Linked DNA regions of Xenopus tropicalis. The protein of the gene in region 1 interacts with the protein of each later gene in a pairwise test. Links are inferred from orthologs where the notes say so. Each region holds a gene or a part of one and is shown in the gene's direction. Other genes may lie near its edges.

Region 1 (3,652 bases):
TTCACTTACCGGATACCCTGGGCCGTTGCTCTTGTTAGCAGAAAACTGCACTGACCCGGGGTTACACCTGGGAGCAATCCTCTTCCTGCTTCTTTTGGCACCCCCAGCGAGTGTAACTTTCCTGCACCTTTAATAGTAAGGAAACTGTTGTGACATCACCTTTACCCTTGACTTATTTGTTTACTATGGCAAAGCAGATGCAATTCTGTATTGCTGCCTTTTGGCATTACAAGCTGTAATCTGCCATTTTTTTCTTTTTGTGAATCGGATGTGTGCCTACATTTGTGTAATACTAAATCATCGAACTCTGTAAAATATATGCATATGTACCTTGTAATTGCTCTGCCAGTGTAATTACGTCATTGCTCAGACATGCAACAGTGAACATTTTCAAGCAATAACACAATTAACCTGGCAGGGTCGGCAAAATTTACAAGTATTTGCTGAGATTTTGTTGCCTGCCTGAAATCACCAACCATTGCCTACTAAAATAATGGGATAAGGGGGCATAATTATCACTGAGTGAAACTGAAGCGTACAGCAGTCAGAGTGAAATTTTGATACAGAGAAAAAGGAAATCAATTTTTAAAATTATGAATCATTTGATTAAAATGGAGTCTATGGGAGAAGGGCTGTCCGTAATTCGGAGCTTTCTGGATAACGGGTTTCCGGATAAAGGATCCCATACCTGTACTATTAGATTCTAGCCACAAAATATTGTAGATAGAATAGCTACATCTGCAACATTTATTTGTGACTGGACTGACATGGAAATGCCATTCTTTCAGATGGTTAAGTGTTTAATGTGGTGTGAATTATGTGTCCCTCCCCTCAATCAATGTGGTACTTTGTATGGTTAGTTACGCCACTGTGCTCAAGCTGTCACCTAGCATACATAAGGGGTCATTTACCATACCCCAGTGGCGCAGCCCTTGGTGCTCACTTAAGAAGCACTCACGTCCAGGGAAAAGTAGGGCTTCGCCCTTCACGCTGGATTTGTCAGGTTGGCAGGGCAGGTTTGACGGGGCTTCAAAGCAGGCTTGCTCCTCCTGATGCTCCTTAACTTGTCCATCTGAATAACACACACGTTAGGGGGCTGGTGGAGAAACCCTACCTGCCTCCCCCCACACTTCTTGGATTGAGCGCTGCATAACACAGGCAGCACTTGATTGGAGGGCTATGTACACTGCAAGGTCCATTGTAAATGACCCCTATTGCATGGCATGCTGAAGGTGTTAGGGGTATGGGTACTAATGCGCTGATATACACTGCTACATCTTTACTCATAGTGACTGAGTTCAAAATAATTTATATGATTTATAGTAATTGTTGGATTATTTCTGATATAGTCTTCAGGAATGTCTGGCATCAGCAAACCGTATAATGTGAAACAGATTAAGGCAACTACAACCCAGGAGGCAGAAGAAGCTATACGATGGCTAATGGATAACAGCAAAGGTGAGAACAGTTATAAACTATGTTAAAAGGCACCTATTATAGTGAAATTGTTTCCCCCACTAGAGGTGCGGGCTAATAATACTGTGGGAAGCAGTACTTGGGAAACAATACTTGGGCCAGAAAATGCTCCTATTGAGTGCAATGCCCCCTGCACAGGGAGGAGCTCCTGGCTTGGGCAGCCATGTTGGGATTCTAAGCATGCGTATAATGACAACTGTCCCAGATTTCTCACTATGTACATTAATTATGTGTCATAGGATTAAGGGATGAATCCCCTGATCTTCCTTCACATGTGCATACTAAGCGAGCCAGTAAATTCACTCATTATGCACACGTCTCTGCAGAGGATATCCCAGCATCATTGTATCCTCTTCTGCCAGTCCTAATTTAGCCTTTACTATAAGTTGGTGGGGTGCGATCTCACTGGGCTGTGCCCTGGATTCAAATTGTGTAGGAGCCTGGGTGTGCAGCTGTGTTTCCCCAGGTAATAAAGGAGAACATAACGTTTTGCTTTTTGAACCTGAAACCAATTGCTGAAGTTATAGAGCAATGGGAAATATTTGCTGCTGAGAGCCAATAAATCACTATAATGTAATTTGTTTAAATCTTTTAAGCTTACATAGTAAGAAGGAAGGGAAAGAGAATATTTGCTTTAAAAAGGTGAAAATCTGTTGCTGTATTAAATACTGTATTTTGTGTTATTACTTTATGGAATTCATTTTATAATTGTATGCTCTTCATCCATTCATTAGTTATTCATTTTAAAACAAGAGTTTTTGTAAAACGCTACATGTTCATTTACATCAGGTTTTTCAATATGTTTCAGAAAAACAACAAGTGGGCCAAACTGGTGTACGTCCGCAAAACAGTAGCTTGAAAGAAAAACCAAAGTCTGTTTCTTTGAATTCAACACAGAAGAATGTCCCAGCCACAGAGCCAGCTCTGGTGCCACAAAGGCCGCCACCAATGGTTCCCAGTATGAAGCCTGTTCCCATACAAAAATCTGAAGCAAAGCCTGAACCTGTAAGCATGTTTAGTACAATAAAAGAAATGTTTTGTTTTTTTAGTGATGCATGGGATTATATGCCTACAAAGATGTAAGCTGTGTTTGTTGAAGAAATGTGACAATATGTTTATAACACAGAGTGAGGGTAATTTATTCTATACAATATACAGAGGACATGTTGGACAATAACTATTTGTAAAAGGGGCATCAAAGTAGTGTCAGTGATGGGTCTCTGACATCACTATTCAAGCGTATATATATCTGATGGGACTGCAAATAGTATGTGCAATAAACTGCAAGTTTGTGCATTATGTATAAACAGAAATTAACAAGCACAAACGTAATGAATATAAGCAGGGAGCAAAAATGAATTTCCATGGGTCTCTGCACTCTGTAAGGAGCACAGGGATCTGCGCCCCCCGAATACAGTTACGGAGCGAAAAGGGGAATGTACTCTCTGCCCAATAAGGATTTTTTTTACCTTCCTCTGGATCAGTGCTGTCCAGTTGTTGGCCCACGGGTCTACCTTGTGTGACCCCCACATTAAAGCTTGAATACGTTAAAAGGTATTTTATTTAATTGGCCCCTGCATTGTCCACACCACTGACTCAGACTGTAAGGTCGAAGTCCTATTAAGCATTGGCTCCACTTCTTTCTGCCTGCTTTTTATAGGCCTACAAAACGCAGATAGAATATTGTCATATTCCTCCAGCTGTTGCCGTAAAGTAGGAAGCTACTGTATGAATTTATTTTTTGTTAAAAAGGCAACCTTTTTTTTTTTTAATTCTCTAAAATGACTATACAGTCCCCCAAAATAGCAAACCTCTTTTCCTGCACTCATTCTCATGCAGATTCTGCATCACAAACAGCTCAGTTTTAGCACTCTTAACTACTTCCTAGCCACATGATGCTCCGCCCCCTTCTCTTTTCTAAACTCTTCTTCTCTCTCTGACTGTGGAGATGGTCAAAGAGGTGTCTAACGCACATGTAAGATTGATTTCCATTGGAGCAGAGACAGGCCTGCACTGGCAATCTGTGGATTCTTGAAAATGCCAGAGGGGCTGTTGTAATATGCCATAGACAGTCACTATATATTGGGCCTATGTGCGGCTGTTTGGGTCTCTCTGTACTTGAAATGCCAGGGCCTAAGAGGCCCAAACAGCCCACTAAATAGTGACTATGGCATTT
Region 2 (4,113 bases), on another chromosome or scaffold:
TTGTAAGTTTTACAATTATTCCATTAAAATAAATGTTTTTAGAAACTATAGCATAAGAGAACTGGCTAAGGAGGCAAGTCACGTTTCTTGGGGGTCAGTCACTCTTTTTGGGACCCCACCACTCACAGCGAGTGCCCCCCTTCCCATGTCTAACCTAATTATGACCCCCCCATTATTGGAAGGGCCTAAAACCCACCTAAAATACATGTAGCTTTAGGGCCATGATAAATCTCCATTGTCACGGGCAACTAATCTCCCCGCAATGCCATTCCACTGGCTAGAATGTACATCACCGGTGGCGTGATTTGCCGAAGTCGCCAAAGCTTTCTCTTAAGGCAACTTCGGCAAATCACGGTGCCGCGTATGCCATCCAACCGGATTTACATTTACATTCTAGCCAGTGGGATAGCATTGCGGGGAAATTAGTCGCCCGCAACAACACAGATTTGTTGCAGGGCGACTAATCTCCGTGTGTCATGGCCCTTAGGATAAAAACATAGGAAGCTACTTAGTAGTAGCTATTGTCAGGGCTACTAAGCGCCAGAATATACCCTGCCATAGACAATACTAACAGCTGCATTTGCAAAAACACAGAGGCAATTATCAAGCATTGTCTATTTTTGTATTTTTCAGGGCCGCCGCTCCCTATAAGCAGAGTACTCAGTCTGCATAGGGCACCAACTCCCAGGGGGGCACCATCCCAGCTACTCCAAAAAAAAAAACATTTTTCTATATTATAACTTACTTACTATGGGGGCATTGTCTATGGGGGCAATTGGGGGCACTGTGTGTGGGGCCCCCATAGTAGGTGTTTTTTTTTATTTTATTTTTACTTCCGTAATATTTGGGAGAGGGGGCACAAAAGTAAATTTCTGCTTAGGGCACCCATTTGGCCAGCAGCGGCCCCGGTATTTTTGTTTCTTCCCCCTGAGGCAGGGGAAAGAGAGCGCTTTTGCTGGTCTGCCACATATGTTACAGAGAAAATAAAGGTAAAACTGACACATCTTTAATATTCATGTTAATACTTAAAAGAACCCTGGAACTACCCTTCCACCTCCCATAACTCTCCGCCGCCAGCCAGTTGCCCGACAGAAGAGCTAAGGGAGTGACGTCACTCAATGCGCGCTCCCGACTCCTGGGCGCGCCCCACTCGCTCCCGCGGGCTTTCGAGGCGAGGCCGGAAGTGACGCAGGCGGGGAAGCTTCCTGTTATCTCGCCGAAGAGTTGATTTTGTCGGGCGCTGGCTGCTCTAGGTTTTTCCTTCATAGACGCTGAAGGGAGAGCAAAGGAGAAGGAGTCGTGAGTGAGAGAGAGAGGGTGTGTTCTGAGCTACTGAAGCCCTTTCGCGGCCTAGCTTGCTTGGGCCATACGTACAGCCTTCATCTGTATCCGCTTTTGCGCCCGGGCTGCAGGGAGATCCGCTGCCAGCGCAGCCATGCAGGCCATTAAATGTGTGGTCGTGGGAGACGGGTAAGTGACGGGCTTCTATCGCTTATTTTTAATTCGAATGAATGGGGTTAGACGCTGAATCGCAGTGTGTCGCGTCTGGCCTGGGGCTCTGGGGATCTACGCGTTCTTCTGCGGTGGAATTTTCACCTTCCTCGGCTGGAACTGTGGCATGTCAGCCTCATAGCGGCCCAGCTGCTGGGGACTACAAGACCCGCAGAGGATGTCGGATACTGTAGTTCATAACAGCTGGTTGGACTCATTTCGTTCTTCATTGGGTTTCTTAGATAAATCTTTCTGCAGGTCTCTGATTACTAGATATTTATTTGGGGTTTCATTTTTACTGCTGCCCTCCAGCTGTTCCCTGGGTGCTGGGGGCACAATTGGCATAAGGGTCCATGTTTGTAATATATTGTAAATGTGTCAGCAAATTATAGTGCTAATATTATATAAAATGGATAACGTTTGGGCCAAGGTGCCTTCGTCCGCAGTGATGAGTCTTAAATCCTGTAGTGTAAAAAAAATAATAAAAATATATATATATATATATATTAGATGTCCGGTTACTAACTGATACTCATCAATATCCAGCAATCAACCCAGGAGCGAATGGAAAGATACGTCAGGAGGGACTATACAGTTATACGGCCACCCTCCCATTGTTACGATTGGAGCACCAGGAAGTAAAGCGCCGTTTCATCTCCCCTTCACTTCCTCATGTGCTGATGCGCTGTGCCCCCCAGTATATGTATACAGAATATAGAGCAAAACCCTCTCAGTTCATATGGGCTGCTTTACATTCTTGGATTTCAGTGCCCTAAGGCTATAGCTGCAGCATGGAACATGTTCTAGATTGATGCTTCCTGCTGCAAGGGAAGAAGAGTCCTCCTATGCCAGAGGCAGTGTGTGTTCTCCCAGTAATCACCGTTGCTAGAGCCTATTTCCCTTGAAAAATGGTAGGAAAAACACTGTTAGATGCATACGTATGATTATGGTCAATATTATAGACCAGATCGGCTCATGTTCCTCACTCCATGGTTAGATATATTGAAACTTCACTGGGTAATGTACTTTAAATCTTTCCTTTGCTATTTAAGCTGTTATATTTTCTACTTACTATGGTTTCTCTCTTTGTCCTGGGCTTTGATTTAATAGACTGTAAATTTGTCCATTCAAAATGTTATTGTATAGTTCCAGCATCAAGTGGACATGTATGTATAACTTTATTTATAAAGCGCCACAAGGGTACGCAGCGCTGTACAATCTCACAGAATACAAGGGAGGACAAGTGATATAATAAATAAATACAATTAATATATATATATATATATAAGTGCCATGAGACACAGTAGGAAGGAGGTCCCTGCCCCGTAGAGCTTACAATTTAAGTACACAGTAGGAAGGAGGTCCCTGCCCCGACATGTAAACAAGACATTCATTTAGACAATATTCCTTTCTAGTATATGAGGGTATTTTTAAATGTCTTCTCGTCAGTTTAAATGCAGGGTACATGTGCCACAAATGCCTCGGTCACATGAATTGTATTTGGCTGCATCCATAATGCCGCATTATGTGTTTCATAGGGTACCACTAGTGGCAGGCAGGCATGGGATGGTGCCCCCGAGAGCTAGGATAAATAAGGTTATTAGAACAATTGAAAATCAGGACCAGTAATAGGAAACCCAACTTGTGGGGCAGCACTGATGGCATTTCCTAGCACTTTAGTAACTTGCCAATCAGTTCAGCTCTGCTAGTTGGGTATTTTGTATGTTTCCTGATTTTTCAGATCATTTGATAATCTTAAGGTAAATTTTGTATGGTGTTTGTGCAGTGTAACTGTATTGCTGTCAAAAATATTATTTATGTGCCAGTCAATGGAGTGCTGATTGTTCTTACACAGAGGTTGTCCATCTCTTTAGGCAAACTTGGCTAAATTACTACATCTATATGCTAGAGCAGGGATCCCCAACCTTTTATACTAGTGAGCCACATTCAAATGGAAAAAGTGTTGGGGAGCAGCACAACCATGAAAAAAGGTTCCTGGTGGTGCAAATAAGAGCAATAATTGTCTATTTAATAGCCCCTATGTGGACTGGCAGCCTACAGAAGGCTCTGTTTGGCATTATACTTGGTTTTTATGCAACCAAAACTTGCCCCAAGCCAGAAATTCAGAAATGAGCACCAGCTTTGAGGCCACTGGGAGCAACATCCAAGGGGTTGGTGAGCAACATGTTGCTATGAGCCATTGGTTGGGGATCACTGTCCTAGAGTTTCTTTAGCATCATTCCCTTATACTTTTTGGGTGTTACCATGTTGTAGCTATGGTGCCCTCTGTCCTCACTGTTCCCCAGTTCAGTTATTGCTCTCCCAATCACAAATCTTCTTCATTTTCAGTAAACAGCAGCTTAACACCCAGTACCGATTTGCTTATGGCTGCATTGTGTATATTCTCTTTCCTCATTAAGACTATCAATCAGACAATTATTTTTTCCTGTGGACATGGCGACTTGTTCAGCATATTATTAGGCAACTTGGTGGCCAAGCTTAACTTGTGTATCATTTTGTCTAAAAGACGCACAAGAAAAAGGCACACAAAATAGAAAAACAATTGTTTTTTTGTTCGTACAGAGACTAAATGTTTCAGGGTGCCCCAACCCCTCCATCAGT
Region 3 (4,294 bases), about 93 Mb from region 1:
GTGATACCGATATAATTTTGAAAAATACCGTGATATAAATTTTTGGTCATACCGCCCAGCTCTACTATTTTGCCCCCCTAACTTCATGACACTAGCCCTTTTTTGGGGGGGTGGGATTTGTATATGTTCCAACCATGCACCTGATTATGCTCAGGGTCGGACTGGGCCACGGGGCATCTGGGAAAAAAAAAGGTGGACCCCCCAGCGGCCCAGACCAGATCCCTGTCGCCAATCCCCCAGCCGCCAGTGTCCCTCCCCTGACACGTTGAAAGTAAGTTTTGCACTCAGGGGAGGACATGGGGTGGGGGGTTAGGTGGGCACAGTGCAGGGTGTGTGGGACATGGCAAGGGCACCTTCAGGGGTGCAGGGCCCACTGGGGCTACTGCCTCAGTCTGACCCTGATTACGCACAGCGATGTGTAACTGATGTAATTATGGGTGGGTTTTAGGTCTTTTTTAACAGCGAAGGCAGGGGCGGGCCAAGCCGACCGGGCGCCCTAGGCAACCCGGTCGGCCAACTCCGCCCCCCCAACGACGCATGCGCGCCAAAGCACAGGAGGAGGTGCAGGGGGGGGCGGTGAGATTAGATCGGTCATTGCCTCCGCCGCTAATGACAAGCAGCGGAGGCAATGACAAAGTAGCACTAGGGGTAGGCAGAAGAGATGCCTGCCTGGCGCCCCCCAATCGTTGCGCCCTAGGCAGCTGCCTCTTCTGCCTACCCCTAGTTCCGGCCCTGAGCGAAGGTTAATATTAATTAAGTTGTGTATTATGGGAAGCATGGGGGGGGTGGATTCAAACAAAATAGGCAGAGTCCGAAAAAATGTGTGTTTGTGTACGTCTTTTTTCTACCTAACTTACTATGTAATAACAGTGGTCACCACAGTAACAGCCCAGTCTCACTCTAACCATAATTTGCACTGAAATTAGTGTTAACTCCAACTGAAAAAGGCCAAAAACCCATCCAAAATTACCTCAGATAAAGGCAGTTTTGGCCCAAACTGTGCGTGTAGTCAGGGCATATTGGAAGGTTAATTTTTATGAATTACAGGTGCAAACATTGCCTCAGGAGTAACTTCAGCAACATTTGCGTTCCTTAGACTAGTGAATGCCGCTTACTGATTGGTTGCTATGCGTTACTGCGAACGGAGCAAACTTGCAACCTGCTACTGCATTGCCCCTTGTTAGCTAATGAAACTCCACACCCCTGGCATACAAATTCTATTTATTTAGTGCACACTATGCCAATTTGCCCCGGGCTGCACATAAATACCCGAATAAGTAAAACCCACACTGTTCCAATGTTATGACTCCCTGTAAAAGCTAATCACGTCCACTGCTTTTTTTCGTTTTACACCGACCGAATGACTCCGCCACGGCGAGCTGCCAAGCACCAGCAAATCAACAGCAGCAATACACCTGCTGGCGCCCTCCCGCTCTCTCTGCCCAGCGGCGCACCTTGTCATTGGGCAACTCGGCCTGACGCAGGGCGTGTGACGGCTGCGCTTTCGGAACTGGTTTGTCCTGTGGGGCTTGCTGTAGGGAAATGGTGCTCAAGGCATAGAGAGGCTGGCAGCGCTTGGTCTCAGCAGGAAGAGACGCGCAGCACTGGAGGTCAGTACCCGGGGTGCTTCTGGCAGGTGTGTGGGGGAAGTGGGGTGCAGTGTGCGCAATGGGGGACCTGTCACAGCTGCGTTCGTCCATGTGCATGGCAGCGTTTGACAGCCCTCGGCGCCACAGCTGTTACATAAACTTCAACATCTACACATAGCAGCGCCGTGCAGGGCATACTGGGAGTTGTAGTTTAGAAACACGCAGAAGAAGGCTGCATATCCCTGGAGATAGCTGTGTGATTATAGGGTATCTGTGGCCGTGTGTCCGGCTGTCAGGCTTGTGTATGGCTGGCTAATGCCATAGTGAGTGTGACTGATGCGGGGGGGTGCCTGGGAGCTTCTGCAAGTGTAACATATCCATTTCTCTTCTCAAAGCAACAGGCCCAACACTATACTAACACCATTACTGTCTGCTATAGGGCTGGGCTGAAATGTGTTTGCCTTGGGCCCTCTGGTTCATAGGGGGCCCCTTAGGGGAAGACTGGAAATAGATGCAGTGTGTGGGTTGCTTTGGACACATGGCTGGATTTACTGCATTTGTTTGTATCCACATGTAAGTCCTTATTAAGGCCAAGTGGATTAAAGGAGAACTTAAGGCCAAGAAAAGATTTTAGCTGGAAATGCTCTGTTGAATATACTGAACTCACTGTACCTAGAGGTTTAACAATCCTATAATTGTAATGATCTAGGCCTTCAACGTTTTCTCCATCTTGGATTTTGTTAGGCCAGCTTTAAGTGTCAGTGGCATTGCACATGCTCAGTGTGCTCTGGGCTGCTGTTGAGAAGCTAAGCTTAGGGGTGAAACAGAAAATGAGGTTCCTCTGTCATAGAAGCTGATTCTTAAATTGAGGCAGAATGCATTGGTTTCTGATCTGCCGTGTAATTGGAGTCTGAATTAGCCTTGTATTGTGAAATTAATGTTTTATATATAGTATATTGTGAGTGGGTCCCTAAGCTCAGGTTATAGTGTGTCATTTATATTCTATATATACAGGATAGTGTGACATTTATAATCAATATATACAGGATAGTGTGACATTTATATTCTATATATACAGGATAGTGAGACATTTATATTCTATATATACAGGATAGTGGGACATTTATATTCTATATATACAGGATAGTGGGACATTTATATTCTATATATACAGGATAGTGGGACATTTATATTCTATATATACAGGATAGTGGGACATTTATATTCTATATATACAGGATAGTGTGACATTTATATTCTATATATACAGGATAGTGTGACATTTATATTCTATATATACAGGATAGTGTGCCATTTATATTCTATATATACAGGATAGTGGGACATTTATATTCTATATATACAGGATAGTGTGAGTGGGTCCCTAATCTCAGGCGATATTGTGGCATTTATATGCTATATACAGGATAGTGTGACATGTAAATGCTATATACAGTATAGTGACATGTATATTCTATATATACAGGATAGTGAGACATTTATATTCTATATATACAGTATATAGTGAGTGGGCCCCTAAGCTCAGGTAAGTGACAGCAGCACAGAGTATGGGCAGGGAATCAGCAGAAAAGAAGATTGGGGGCTATTATAGGTCAGGTGGATCTTGATTACACTGCCAGGGTCCTGGAACTGAATAAGATTAAGCTCCTCCCCCAATAAAAAAAAAAAGAATTGTCAGACCATATAGCCGGGCGCTTGGCTGGCCTTGAGGGCCAGATGAAAGAGCTTTCCAAACAATAATGTAACCTGCTGCTGTTGGAGAACACATTCCCCTGTGATTGCTCTGTAATGTTTTCCTTTTGCATAGTCACAGGGGAATTAGCTAGCGGGATCAGCTGGGGACTGGGCCATTATTCAATTACTGAGAATTTATGCTAAATCCTCGATGTCATGGCCTGTTATCATAGGTGGCTCCCAGGTTAGCACTGTCTGTAGAACTGGGGGTCCTGGGTTCACACTTTAAAAAGGGCCTGAAACGTGTTGTTACTATATAATAAAATGTGTTGTTTATCTTTTGAATTAGCTTTTAGTATGATATAGAGCGTGCTATTCTGAGACCATTTTCCATTGCTCTTCATTTTTTATTATTTGTGGGTTTGGAATTATTTAGCTTTTTGTTTAGAAACTCTCCAGTTTGGAATTTCAGCAGCTATCTGGTTGCTATACCAGATTATTATTACCCTAGCAACCAGGCAGTGGTTTCAATGAGAGACTAGAATATGAATAGAAGAGGGTTTAAATAGAAACATAAGTAATAAAAAATTACCGTAACAATAAAATTGTAGCCTCATATAGTAGTTTATGGGCTGCTAGGGACCCTATTTTAGGGTGAGGACACACGGAGCTACTAGTAGCAGCTACTTGTTGTGGCTACAGAAGCAGACAATTCTGATCATTTACAGATAACTGTCTGTGTGTTTTAGCAGAGGCAATTCTAAGTATTGTCTATGGCAGGGGATTTTCTGGCGTCAAGTAGTTGCTTCTAATAGAAGAAGATGGTCCAAATAATTCAAAACCTATAAAAATGAAAAGTTGCTAAGGATTGTCCATTCTATAACGTAATAAAAGTTAAACTTAAAGGTGAACCGCCCCTTTAATACTGGTCTATGATATATATTGGCTACACAGTTTTAAAAATCAGCTGGGTGGAATGATGGAATCTGGCAGCCGCTTTTTTCTAAACA

What was found.
Region 2: the proteins of synj2 (region 1) and rac1 interact in a two-hybrid assay, tested with the Homo sapiens proteins (2 studies listed by BioGRID and IntAct). The link is inferred for Xenopus tropicalis from reciprocal best matches to the Homo sapiens genes SYNJ2 and RAC1.
Region 3: the proteins of synj2 (region 1) and itsn2 interact in a two-hybrid assay, tested with the Homo sapiens proteins (2 studies listed by BioGRID and IntAct). The link is inferred for Xenopus tropicalis from reciprocal best matches to the Homo sapiens genes SYNJ2 and ITSN2.

The regions. Positions count from the first base shown.
Region 1 is NC_030681.2:52,444,262-52,447,913, reverse strand, and holds part of synj2 (synaptojanin-2), read left to right. Parts: intron 1-1,349; coding exon 1,350-1,458; intron 1,459-2,284; coding exon 2,285-2,481; intron 2,482-3,652. UniProt on the Homo sapiens protein: Inositol 5-phosphatase which may be involved in distinct membrane trafficking and signal transduction pathways. May mediate the inhibitory effect of Rac1 on endocytosis.
Region 2 is NC_030685.2:25,457,276-25,461,388, forward strand, and holds the start of rac1 (ras-related C3 botulinum toxin substrate 1), read left to right. Parts: upstream 1-1,267; 5' UTR 1,268-1,435; coding exon 1,436-1,470; intron 1,471-4,113. UniProt on the Homo sapiens protein: Plasma membrane-associated small GTPase which cycles between active GTP-bound and inactive GDP-bound states.
Region 3 is NC_030681.2:145,826,468-145,830,761, reverse strand, and holds the start of itsn2 (intersectin-2), read left to right. Parts: upstream 1-1,427; 5' UTR 1,428-1,610; intron 1,611-4,294.